3 linked regions of the Kluyveromyces lactis genome follow. The protein of the gene in region 1 interacts with the protein of each later gene in a biochemical or structural test. Links are inferred from orthologs where the notes say so. Each region holds a gene or a part of one and is shown in the gene's direction. Other genes may lie near its edges.

Region 1 (4,256 bases):
CATGTCACATGCTCTGTTGAGGAATGAGTGGAAAGCCACACTTTTTATTGCGGTACTTTCACTTAGGCTGATGAAAAGATCGGTGTTTGAAGTTCCTGCTGAGAGGTTATTGTGAAAGTGTCAAATGATAACGCACATTAACGGGCTGCCTTTTGATTCCTTTGCCCACAGAAGTGGTCCATTTTGTTTCAGAGATTTAACCACAATTTGTTAGTGTGTTATTGTTATCTTGTTGTAGTATATTTTATGGAGGTTATATATATATAAGGAATAACCTTTCAGTTGTTGACAAGGCCTATGTAATAGATTCGAGGTTGTCTGTATCTTGTATTGATAAGTTAAAAAGTGTAAGAAAGACGTCTCATAATAAGGAGTAACACAGGATACCGACCTCCGAATAGGCTTAACAAGCGCCTACTACAATATACCCATTAGCGTCCCCGTTTGACAATATTCAACAATGTTCACAGACAATTTTGGAAAAGCCAAAGATACGCAGCAGGTTTCCCAGGTGATAGTACAATGCTTCAAAAGTTTAAATTCAGTTCCCAGATCGACTCCAGACCTAGAGCAAGACTATTGTGATTCTGATGAAGAGGAAGATTTGATCGTGGATTTAACGACAGGGTCGTTAAAGCCCAGGAATTTGAAGAATTATCTACTTATGAATGAGGTAATGAATGGCCTAGAGAGCCTATGACGCTATGGTATTAAAGCCAATAAGGGGGTTTCACATCTACTTTATTGTGTCTACCGAAGATTTGCATACCAGAGAGATGCATCTTTTAATGCCTTTACTGCCTGGCTTTATCTCTCATTTTATTTTCATTTCTTTCGACTATATAGAACATATATACTTTTTGGGTAATTTAACAGACGGAATTCATTATATATAACATATTGGAATTAAGTGTTTCAAACAGGGAGCCAACTCAGAATTGCATTAGCAGCTGTTCCCTTGTGCTCAAGTAATTACTGCTACATCACAATCCCCCAAAACTACGTATCACTACGTACGCTATGTCACTTAATACGATTTTAGGTCATCCCTCACCTCTGAAAATTTCTTTATCCTTGAAGTAAACAACTAATTGATGATAAAGAACTAACGTTTTCTAAGTTGATGCAAGCAATGTTTCGGCTTATATGATTTGTCGTATTTGTCTTTCAGTCATACTATCAGCAACTGAGACCAATAAAAGTATTCATACAGTGCGTAAAGTGGGAAATTTTTTTATAGATCGTTAATTGATTAGTGTGTTTCTTCTTTCACAATCAGAGAACAAGGACACTCACTCATCTTTAAATTATTTCTCAGAAAAATACCATTGAACCAAAACGCTACGACTTTGGTATTATCTACTTAGAGATTACTTGTGTCATTGAAGGACATATTATTTTATTCCTAGTCAGCTTTTTCATCAATTGTCACCTCACTTGATTTCCTGACCCACTGATGTTTGGTGCTTCTCGACCGGCATTTGGACAGACGAGTACTTCTCCTTTTGGCCAACAAACTCAGTCAACAACCAATGCGTTCGGTCAACAGCATAGTGGAACCACAAACAATCTGTTTGGATCCAGCTCTGCCAACAACGCGCAATCAGGGTTTGGTGGGTTTGGTACCGGCGGCGCTAATACAAACCCTACGCAAACTATAAATTCCCCATTCGGTATGTCACAACAGCAAAATACAACTACTTCTCCGTTTGGCGGGGCAGCAGCAGGAGCAGCAGCAGGTAATTCATTGTCGAACCCACCATCCCTGTTTGGTGGTAGCCAATCTAGTGGTACAGCGACAGGCGTTCTCTCTTCTGGACCTCCTTCTGGCACTGGAATCAAGCCATTCCAACCTTATACGGAAAAGGATGTGTCAACTGGATATCCATCGGTGTTTCAATCTATTACTTGTATGCCTGAATATAGCCTTTATTCGTTTGAAGAGTTGAGGTTCCAAGATTATCAACAAAATAGGAAATTTAGCACCACTGCTGGAGGTCCGACAGCTTCTGCTATTGCTTCGCCATTCGGTCAACAACAGACAAATGGTACTAACAACACTTTTGGTTTAGGAAATAAAAATACCATCAGTGCAGGTGGCGCAACTCCCTTTGGTCAACAGCCTGCAAATTCACCTTTTGGCCAGCAACAGCCTGTAAATGCATTTTCACAACCTAATAACACTCCCTTTGGCCAACCACAGCAGCAACAGCAAACTGGCATGTTTGGACAACAGCAGAATAATTCTCCATTCGGGCAAAATACTGCTTCAAGTTCTTCTCCATTCGGTTTAAACAAACCGGCTACCTCTGGAGGTCTGTTTGGACAAAACACCACCAATAATAATTCCGCATTTGGTCAAGCCAACAACTCATTATTTGGTCAACAAAACCAACAGCAAAACCCAGGTAACGCATTTGGTCAAAATACTGGTTCAAACACCTTTGGGAGCACTTTCGGCCAAACAAACACCAACAATCAACCGGGTGGTTTGTTTGGACAAAATAACACCACAGCGGCCAATACTGGTGGACTTTTTGGTCAACAAAGTAACGCCAATAACGCATTTGGTCAGAATAATAACACCTCAGGTGGATTATTTGGATCAAAACCAGGTGGAACTACAGGTGGCGGTTTATTCGGTCAGCAAGCACAGAACGGACCCTCTCCTTTCGGTCAACAAAATGCTGCTAATTCTACTCCATTCGGTCAGGTAAACAATACTCAGGCGGGTGGATTGTTTGGACAAAACAACACCAATACTGGCGGAGGTTTATTTGGACAGCAACAACCATCTAACACAAACAGTACAGGATTATTCGGACAACAAAGTAACGCAGCTAGCACTGGCGGTCCTTTCGGACAACAAAATAGCAACTCCATGAATCAACAGGGCGGAGGATTATTTGGTGCGAAGCCAACTACCGGTGGCCTGTTTGGATCAAACAACCAAAGTCAACAAGGTTCAACTGGGTTATTCGGAGCTCAAAATAAAACTGTAATGGGTGGTAGTTCCGCGCTGTTTGGTCAAAATAATCAGCAACAACAATCTGGCGGATTGTTCGGACAAAGTAATCAACCGTCTGCAACGGGGGGGTTATTTGGTAATCAGAACCAACAAACACAGCAACCTAACACCGGTGGTTTATTTGGTCAGCAGAACAACAGTATGGCAAACAACACCGGAGGATTGTTTGGTGCAAAACCAACAGGAACTACTGGTGGATTATTTGGCCAAAGTAGTCAGCAGCAGAATACATCTAGCGGATTGTTTGGTCAAAATAACAACCAGAACAACACAGCAACGGGGGGTCTATTTGGTCAAAACAACCAGCAACAAGGTCAATCATCGGGTAGTCTCTTTGGTGCCAAACCTTCCGGCACTAACGCTTTAGGAGCTACCAACGGCGGGTTATTCGGAGGCAACACACAACAGCAGAATACGGCTACTGGTGGTCTATTTGGTGCCAAACCAGCTGATAGTGCGTCAACATCTGGTGGCCTTTTCGGCACTAAACCAACAGGTGGTTTGAGTAGTACCACTGGAGGTGGATTATTCGGTGGAAAACCTGCCGGAACTGCACCTTTTGGCGCAACAAACACGAACAATGCCTCATCAATTGGTGGCGGAAGTTTATTTTCTGCGAATAAGCCAGCAAATACTGGTTCGACAGGATTATTTGGATCACAAAACAACACTTCTGGTAATGCAAATACAGGTGGTTTATTCTCTTCATCTTCCTTGCAACAAAACCAACAAATGCAAAACCAGCAGCAAGCAGCACAAGCGAACTCCAATCCATATGGTACGGATGAGCTATTCTCCCGTGTTATCTCTATTCCTAATTCCATTACTCAACCAACTAAGCCTAGTGCCACAATGGTTTCTGCAGACTTGAAGAAAAAGAACTCCCTCTCCGCAGCATACAAGCTGCTTCCAAAACCCTTGTTTGACTCTAAAAAGTCGGAACCGAACTCCAGAAAGGTTAAAATTCATCTAAAACTATCAAAACCCAAGGAGGAAGACACTAGTTCGACTGCTCTAACAAGAAAGCCTATGGATTCTTCAATTTTCACTGCATCTACTGATGAGGCTATTTTAACTACCGGAGAACTCCTCTTTAATCCAGACAAAAAGTCTTTCAAAAACCTTATCATCAATCGCCAAAAGATGGAAGAAGATGATACCTCATCTGGTGAATTGAAATTCATAATCTTCAATACTGACGACGGACCACAAAAGAAAATGGAACAGA
Region 2 (3,752 bases), about 1.4 Mb from region 1:
AGGTGATGACGGTATCACGCTTAGTGATAGCGTTTTCAATACCAACGGCAATGGCTTCTTGACCGACAGAGGAGTGACAGAAACCTCTAATTTTCTTAGCCTTGTACAAAGCGTCACAGGCCATTTCCATTCTTCTAACGATAATCATATCCTTGTACATTTGTAGCAAATTGGACTTGGTGGTTTGATAACTTAATTCAGGAACATCCAAAAGATAACCTTCAAAAGAGGTTTCTGGCAAATCAATTTGAACTAGGTCATCATCACCTGGCTTAGTTTCATCAGCAACCTGGGACAAAGCACGGACGTTTTTAGAAAAGTTTCTAACCAATCTCAAAGAGCTGGACTTCCCAACCACAGAGGATTGAGCTTTCAAAGATAGCATGGTTTGCCTAATTTATTGTTCTTTTCGGTATTAACTACTATAGCGACCAACAATTAGAACACACAAATACACACTCAGCAGTAGTGATGGCAAAATATGTTGTATAGAGAAGAAATAAAGAAGAAGAAGCTCTGAGTTCCTGATTCTATATTAAAACAAAAAAAAGCCAACTAATGAACGATTCCTTGTTCCAAAAAATTTGACAAAAATCAATCAATCAATCAATCAGTCAGTCAATTAATCAATTGCTTGGCTCAGTATCACTGAAAGACCAAAAAAAGGTTCTTAATCACGCAACAACTGTTTCTCATCATATTCACAATTAAATCCGCCTTTAAATACTTGTGAACTTGGGAAAAAAACTTCAAAAAATTTCGTAGCCAGCCAGTCGGTATAGATAAGGGACTTGAAATAACAAGAAGTGGGTATAAGCAAGGTCAATTTTGCTCTAATTGGGGTCAAACTTGAACCGTTGGGTAGCTGATGATGCGGAGAGTATTGATATTCTACTTATTATGGGATATCTGACAGTTTCGTCTGGTGTAGGTAGAGTTTATTGTGCTGATTCAATTAGACAGACGGGATTGTTGTTAGAAAGAGTGGGAAAAGTGACGTGCACAGCGCGGTGTTTGGGTGGAACATGGGCAGCAGATCTATTACCCGGATAATATGCGGGTCATGAGTTCTAATGATACACATTACCCGAATATTAATACTTTTGGCGCACGTGATCAGAAAGTGATTTCTTTTTCATTCTCTTCTGATCGAGGTCCGGGTAATATTTTGGAAAATTTTTTGAAATATCTTAGTGCTGTGTGGCAGGAAAGGTTGTATCCAGGAAAGAAATTTGGAAAAAAAAAGTATCAGTGAAAACTTTAAAGCGATGAGATGAGATGAGGTAAAGAGAAACGAGGTACATACTTACATCATTATCATAGTGTATCGTTCCCTCCTTTGTATCAGAAAACAGCTAATACTAATAATTTGTGGATAAAATTATCCGTACTATGGCGTTACAAATCTCAAAGGAAGACACTCAGGTGTTATTGAAAGATAAGAATGTATTGATCGAACCAACAATTGAGAAATATAGAACTGCAGGTCAAATTGCTCAGACTGCTTTAAACTTTTTGATCAGTTTGATCAATAAGATGTATCATGAGAAGTCTATGGAGCCGCTACCGATTCATCAACTTTGTTTATTGACTGATTCGTTCATAGCCGATTGTTTAAGTACTAAGTTCAACAATAAGGTTAACGAGAAGGGAATCTCAATGCCAACTTGTATTGATATCGATGAAATAAACGAGAACTGGTGTCCTGAAGTGGATGACATCGAAAACTTGTCCCGTTGGAACCAAAAATCTAGATCTACCAAATCGATCGAGCTATGTAACGGTGTTACTTCTAGTTTGTCTGGGTTTTTGAAAGTTGGTGATGTCGCTAAGATCACTTTGGGTTGTCACATCGATGGGTACACTTGTAACGTGTCCCACACCGTGGTCATTTACCCAACCGTTCAGGATGCCCAATCTGGAAAATTGCTACCTGAAGCTGCTTTGCTAGGTGGTAAAGCTGATGCTCTAGCTGCCACCCATATCGCTGTTGAGTCCGTCACTAACTTATTAGCTGCTGCAAACGATTTGACCAAACTTCCAGCTGATTTCAACGCTACGAAGGTCACTGGTTCCTTGATTAGGACCGTAGTTGACACCATTGCTCAATCTTATAATTGTTGCGTTGTGCCTGGTTCTCGTATCAGAAGAATCAAAAGATTCCTTTCTGGTCAAAACGAAAATATCATTGTCGAAAGAGACTTCAAAGGTGTCATTTGGACTGAGTCTCATCAGGAAGCTGCTATGCTTGCTAGAACCGTCAATGAAACTGCTGTTGATGTCAAGCGTAAGAACCCATTTATCACCGAAGATACCGTGGTCCCAACAGATGATTTTACCGTTGTCAAGGGTGAAGTTTACATGATCGATTTGAAGTTGGCTCCATTGCAAGGATTGGAGCCAGGTTTGATCACTTTACACACTGTCGATCAATTCTCCGGTAAATCTGAATCCTCTGATGTGGTGGCTAGACCAGGTGCCATCTGCCGTGATTTTTCAAAGAGCCATGTTCTAAAGTTAAGAGCTGCTAGACAAGTGTTGACCAGATTGGATAAACAAGGTGTATACCCTACCAAATTAGCTCATATCGCTGATTCTTTCCCATTGGACGTACAGGAGCCTGATTTCGAAACCATCAAGCAAGAAATCAAGCCATTCAGATTAGGTCTTTCTGAAATTTCTAACAACTACCTAACAATCGACAGAGATGTCACCATCGTAAAACACGTTCCTTGGGCTAAGATCTTGGATCTAACAAACCCATCCGGTGTGTCAAGTTATGACGCCATGGCAAAGAATAAAGGTTTATACCCAGGTTTCGAGCTTCCTCTACCTAAACTAGGTTTGTCCAACCTACAGTTGAAATCCTTGCTAAAAAAACACTCTACGCCAGTTCCTGTGGTCCGTCAATGTGTCACTGTAGCCATCTGTGATGAAGAGTTGCTAAGAATCAGCGGAAACCTAAAATCTAACTGGGTTCATTCTGTTTACTCTATGGATACTGCAAGCAATATCGTTGCAGGTATATTCAAACTGGCTCAATTGTCCGAGGATAAGAGATTTGGTTTGAAGATCAGAGAAACTCAACCATGGAAAATGAAATTCTAATTTATTCATTACCAGTATTAACTACCTTCTTTGATAGAACTACTTCAACAGATAACAAATTCTATTTCATACACAAACACCCTTTTCGCATCTGCACACAATAACTCTACATTGATACACCAGTTCATATTATATTCAATACTCGTTTGATTTCGGTAGCCCAAGAGTCTTGTTCTTATGAGTCTTTATTCTTACCAACCAATTGCAACAAAAACAATGTATAAATAGCAACTTCTAAGTATCTTGTAGATCTGTACACTAGCAAAATCATAATAGAACTCAAGCTCTCAACTTTGTCATTAGTTCTTCTACTATTAGTGTGTTTGCTTCGGAAGGATTATCAAAACGTTCAAAATGATGGCGGCTAATTAGATTTTAGTATAAAAAGGATTTGGAGTCAGAAACCAAATCAACAAACCCAACTACCAATGAATATGACATAGCGAGATATCTAGTGCACATAACTAGGAGCGAGAAGGTGATCCTAAAAACCAATAACTTTGCATTTCATTCTACTTGAAACGTCCCATTCCATTTCTATTTAAGCTGTCATGTCTACAGAGACAGAAACTAAAACCAATGTGGTCAATATTGATGAGTTACAAAACTTCGGAATTAACGCGTCTGATATAACTAAATTGAAG
Region 3 (4,491 bases), on another chromosome or scaffold:
TCTGAGCTGCTCCAAACCATCAAGGATTCGAGTCAATTGAAAGGGCTCATTTATGTGATTGATTCTACTATTAATCCTAAGGAATTGGTCAGTACTGCAGAACTATTGTATGAAATATTATCTGTCACCGAATTAAGACCAGACGGAGTTGACATCTTGTTGGCATGCAATAAATCTGAGTCATTCGTGGCAAGACCTCCATCAAAGATCAAGGGTGCTTTGGAGAAGGAAATAACTGAAATCATGAAGAGAAAGGCCAAAAGTTTGAAGGCAAACTCGAAAAAGTCCTTGAGTGACGATGCTAATGACGATGATGACGATGAGGTTGCTGTTCTTCAACAAAACTCAGCCGGATTCGAATTCGATAGAATTGATGGGAATGTAGATGCTAAGGAGGGAAGCGTTTTGAAAAATGATATTGATAAGTGGGAATGCTGGATTGATGAACGTGCAATGAATTAGGCGATCTGCCTTGTTGCCTTTCAGGAATTTTTTTCCCATATTCATATATAGCACATTTAATAAAGCCATGTAATGAACTGTGAACGATTGCGATTTGTCATATCCTTTTCAGCCTTGTTGTTTGGTCATTGAATTTGAAGTTAAAGGTTAAGTATTGGTATGCGTTGGTTTGTCTCTTGTCTTCGGTACATCACTGCAATCATTCCATAACATTACAGCAACTGAGGTTCCAACGATTGAAGTTCCAAGTAGTAACAGTAATATAGGGATTCCAACTGCATATTGGCTAGATAATGGGAAAAGTGACACTTTTTGATCAAGATCAAATATAGGTAACAGTAACCAAACACAATAATAGATAAAGAGTGCTAAAATAATAGAAAAGGTCTTCATAGCTGCAGATATTAAAGTTCAAAATAAGAGCAAATGATCCTATTACAGTATGATATTGTTGCCATTCACTTCATTCAGTGGTAAAGATGCAATGTTGATCTCGAAGTCAGAAACTTTTAACACTACAAGGTGAGCGCGAAGTTCTCACACGGTATCCATTCAATTTTCCAACGACATAAATAAAGGTGGAGTAAATGATACGAGAGGAGGAGTCTGGTACTGTTCTAACTTCTTGTTGTCATAACAGTTGCTCGCGTGGCGTAATGGCAACGCGTCTGACTTCTAATCAGAAGATTGTGGGTTCGACCCCCACCGTGAGTGCTTTATTTTTAACCACTTTTTTTTAACTTAGAGAATGAAACCGCTACATCAGATCTAACATAACTGCACTTCAATATCTATCTGTTGATAACTAGCACGAGAATATCAGCTGTCACTCAGTACTTACAATATGTTTTTCATCTTCACTAGTGGTTGTGAAGGTATGTTCTCGATTCGCAAATGATGGTTACCCTCGTTTTACTTTTACTGTTGATAATTTGGTTCCATTATTAAAAATTTGAAGTAAATAATAGTAAATAAAATAAAGATATACTGAATTTACATCAGTAGGGCTGATCTAGTGATATCATCAACTGGAAGCTACGAAAGCCTGTACTGGTCGAAGTACTGTGTGACATATAAATTCAATAATGTGGGCACTTTCACCCTTTGCCTCCTTGTATGAATCCATACAGAAAGCTGATTTCCGTACCGATTTGTTCAATGAGTTTGTATCTGATTTGAAGACGTTGAATTTGACTGATAATGCTAAGAAAAATGCTGCTAAGAGACGCGAATTGGAATCCGGAGAAATTAAGCTATCCGATGGATCAGTGTACAAATTGAATCAGGAGTTCATAATAGAAGTAATCAAGATTTCCGATGAGCTAGATCTTGATGAAATTGTCTGTGCGGAACAAATATTAACTGCAGAGGACTCGTCCCAAGCTGTGGACCAGGACATATCTTTGCATAACAAGGGTCTACTGATATACTATCTCAGAAGACAATATATTTTACAAGTGGTGGCATACGTTTTGAATGCACTATCCTCTTCAGATGATGTTTTTCAAACACTTACCAGTGATGGGACTCTTTTAAACAATGTTTTGCAAGCATTCAACACAATCCATAAAGAACTAGAGGATGTGAAGGCACTTGTAAATAAGGCACAAATCCTTGATAATTATGATGTGGTTTCGAAACAGAATATTACGTTCAGAAGGGATTTCTTGATCAAAGAATATGACACGTTAGGTACTGTTCTTTTCGGTTTGTCCAAAAATAATCTACTCTCTAATGCAACGGTAATACAAAAGGTTATTGACCATGTTACATCGCTAGCCTCTGATGATTTTTTTATCATATTTTACCTACCTGCTATAATAAATACTTTCAAAAATTTGGCATCCTTCTCCTCCAGGGATGTTGAAAGTTTGCACGCCCAATTCCTCAGAGATTTAGAATCCGAATCAATATACACTAAACCCACCAAGGTTGTTCTCATCTTCATCTTCTTAACGTTCTTTATAGGCTGGTGCAAAGCTGAACCAACTACAAGAGCAAAGCAATTCGACTTCGCTGTTGCTGTAGACCTTCCAATGACTTCTGCAGTCGAATTGGGGGCAATCGAACAGTTGATGGTATACGCAGCAGAAACTTCGATGGTAGAAGCAGATAAAAGCATGGAGTTATTCTTTGACATACGGTCCTTGCTAGAGAAGCATATTCCAAGAATGTCACCAAAACTCTTGTTAGATCCAGAGTACTCAACCGCAGTAAGCACCAAAACTTATGTTGATGACCCTTCTACCAAATACTCAAATTTATCAATTTTCGACTATGGACTCGATAGCTTTCTATCCACTTTGCATGACTTCTTTCAAGCTTTTATTACAGACTGTGCATTCCTCTTGACAAAGATAAAAAATGCTGAGGAAGATTCTTTATTATCCGGTGAGGATCTCTATTTGGATGACATCTCAGCGAAGGCGGACCTAGAACGATTTTTCATTACCATATACTTCTTTTATGCATCTAGACCGGAATATTCAAGCTCTTTCTGGGATGACAAAGAGTCTAATCTCTATGGTTTCATAGAATGGGCTGCAAAATGTAACGATACTTTGATGAAAGCATGCTTTTACTTGATGATTTCCAGTTTGTCATATGGATCTCAAAATTCTCATAATGTTTATCATTATGTGGAGAGTAATCAGCATAGTTCCTGGAAATATATTGCACATAATATAAACGAAACAACCGAAAAAATTACACAACTTGAACAGAAGTTACAAGATCTCCAGCAAAACGGCGCAGCAACAAGTGAGATCAATGCGGTGGCAATTGAAAGTGGGTTAAGTGAAGAAACAATTATCCTGTTGTCTTCGTACTTTACCTTGGTTGAATCTATTGCATATAATGTTGATGAACAAATAAAATCGCAATTAGCTAACACATTCGAAGACATCCTCTTCAGTTTCCTCAAAGTAAGAAGTCCTTTACTAGGTGCAGCGCTAAAAGTATTAAGTCATTTGATCCCTAAGGAAGAAACTCAAAGGTACGGTTACTGGACCAAACTAGACCGACTCATTTTCAAATCATACCCGTTAGATTCAACAGATAGTTCCTATATTGCAGCCTTCAACTCAATTTTCACTGGCTACTCCGAAGTCTTAGGATTTTTGCAATTGTTCTCCAGATTGGTGTCTGTGGGAACAACTAATCATAGTAATGAGTATATGAAGTTTGGTAAACTAAGTTTTCCTGTGAATATTGGATATGGATATAGAAAGACAGGTGTATGGCCTTATTATGAGTATATTTTGGGTAATATTTTCTTGAATGATGAAAAGGCAGCTACCAAAGACCAGCAAACAGTCAAGAACGTTTTGGTTTTAGATATTATCAAATCTTCGCTTTTATCATTTGACTACAGCGTTATTTTGAACTCCGTTTCCGTCGGTTGTAATTTGGACTCGTTTGTACAGACTTCCGACTTCTATTCCTTTGTCCAACAATCCAATGCTACTGCCACAATGAACTACTTGTACAACGAAAAAGTGTTTTCAAAGATCTTCAAAATAGCCTCTATAGGAATAGATGAGCTGGAGAGTGAACTTGGGCGTATTTTGAAGCCGAAGTCGTTGATGGTCAGGGATTCACTATATATCATTGATATTATGCTAACACACGAAGGAACATATGCCGAGGAATTTTATCCTATAGTGAAACGCTGCTCTGATAACTCGGTGTTTCTACCCAAAAGTATCAGCATAAGAGGATTGCGTTTCTTCTATGACGCTATCTTCTTCAATCTTCCATTGACAGCTCACTTCGGTCTTTATGTTGGTAGCACTAATTTTGACATTTCTTTGAGCAGTATTAGCATTTTAAAGAAGTTAGCGACTAAATTGGACTCGGGAAATCCTAGAGGTCTCCACAAAAGTATATTATTGACGGTATTCGATTCTGTTGATGATTCTGCAAGAATAAAACAAAGCTTCATTGATCAACTAATGTCGCCTATTACCGATGAATGCTCATTGAAATTAAAGGTGAATATTCTAGATTTCATTAGCAAAAACTTGTCTT

Evidence for each region.
Region 2: the proteins of NUP116 (region 1) and ARX1 form a complex in vitro, tested with the Saccharomyces cerevisiae proteins (2 studies listed by BioGRID). The link is inferred for Kluyveromyces lactis from reciprocal best matches to the Saccharomyces cerevisiae genes NUP116 and ARX1.
Region 3: the proteins of NUP116 (region 1) and NUP192 form a complex in vitro, tested with the Saccharomyces cerevisiae proteins (2 studies listed by BioGRID). The link is inferred for Kluyveromyces lactis from reciprocal best matches to the Saccharomyces cerevisiae genes NUP116 and NUP192.

The regions. Positions count from the first base shown.
Region 1 is NC_006042.1:2,465,791-2,470,046, forward strand, and holds the start of NUP116 (FG-nucleoporin NUP116), read left to right. Parts: upstream 1-1,456; coding exon 1,457-4,256. Other genes in the region: KLLA0_F26686g (uncharacterized protein), read left to right, coding at 461-700. UniProt on the Saccharomyces cerevisiae protein: Functions as a component of the nuclear pore complex (NPC).
Region 2 is NC_006042.1:1,098,062-1,101,813, reverse strand, and holds ARX1 (putative hydrolase), read left to right. Parts: upstream 1-1,392; coding exon 1,393-3,108; downstream 3,109-3,752. Other genes in the region: PDA1 (pyruvate dehydrogenase (acetyl-transferring) subunit E1 alpha), read right to left, coding at 1-385; recombinase DMC1, read left to right, coding at 3,660-3,752. UniProt on the Saccharomyces cerevisiae protein: Probable metalloprotease involved in proper assembly of pre-ribosomal particles during the biogenesis of the 60S ribosomal subunit. Accompanies the pre-60S particles to the cytoplasm.
Region 3 is NC_006041.1:1,034,673-1,039,163, forward strand, and holds the start of NUP192 (Nup192p), read left to right. Parts: upstream 1-1,547; coding exon 1,548-4,491. Other genes in the region: SRP102 (Signal recognition particle receptor subunit beta), read left to right, coding at 1-462; KLLA0_E11727g (uncharacterized protein), read right to left, coding at 610-855.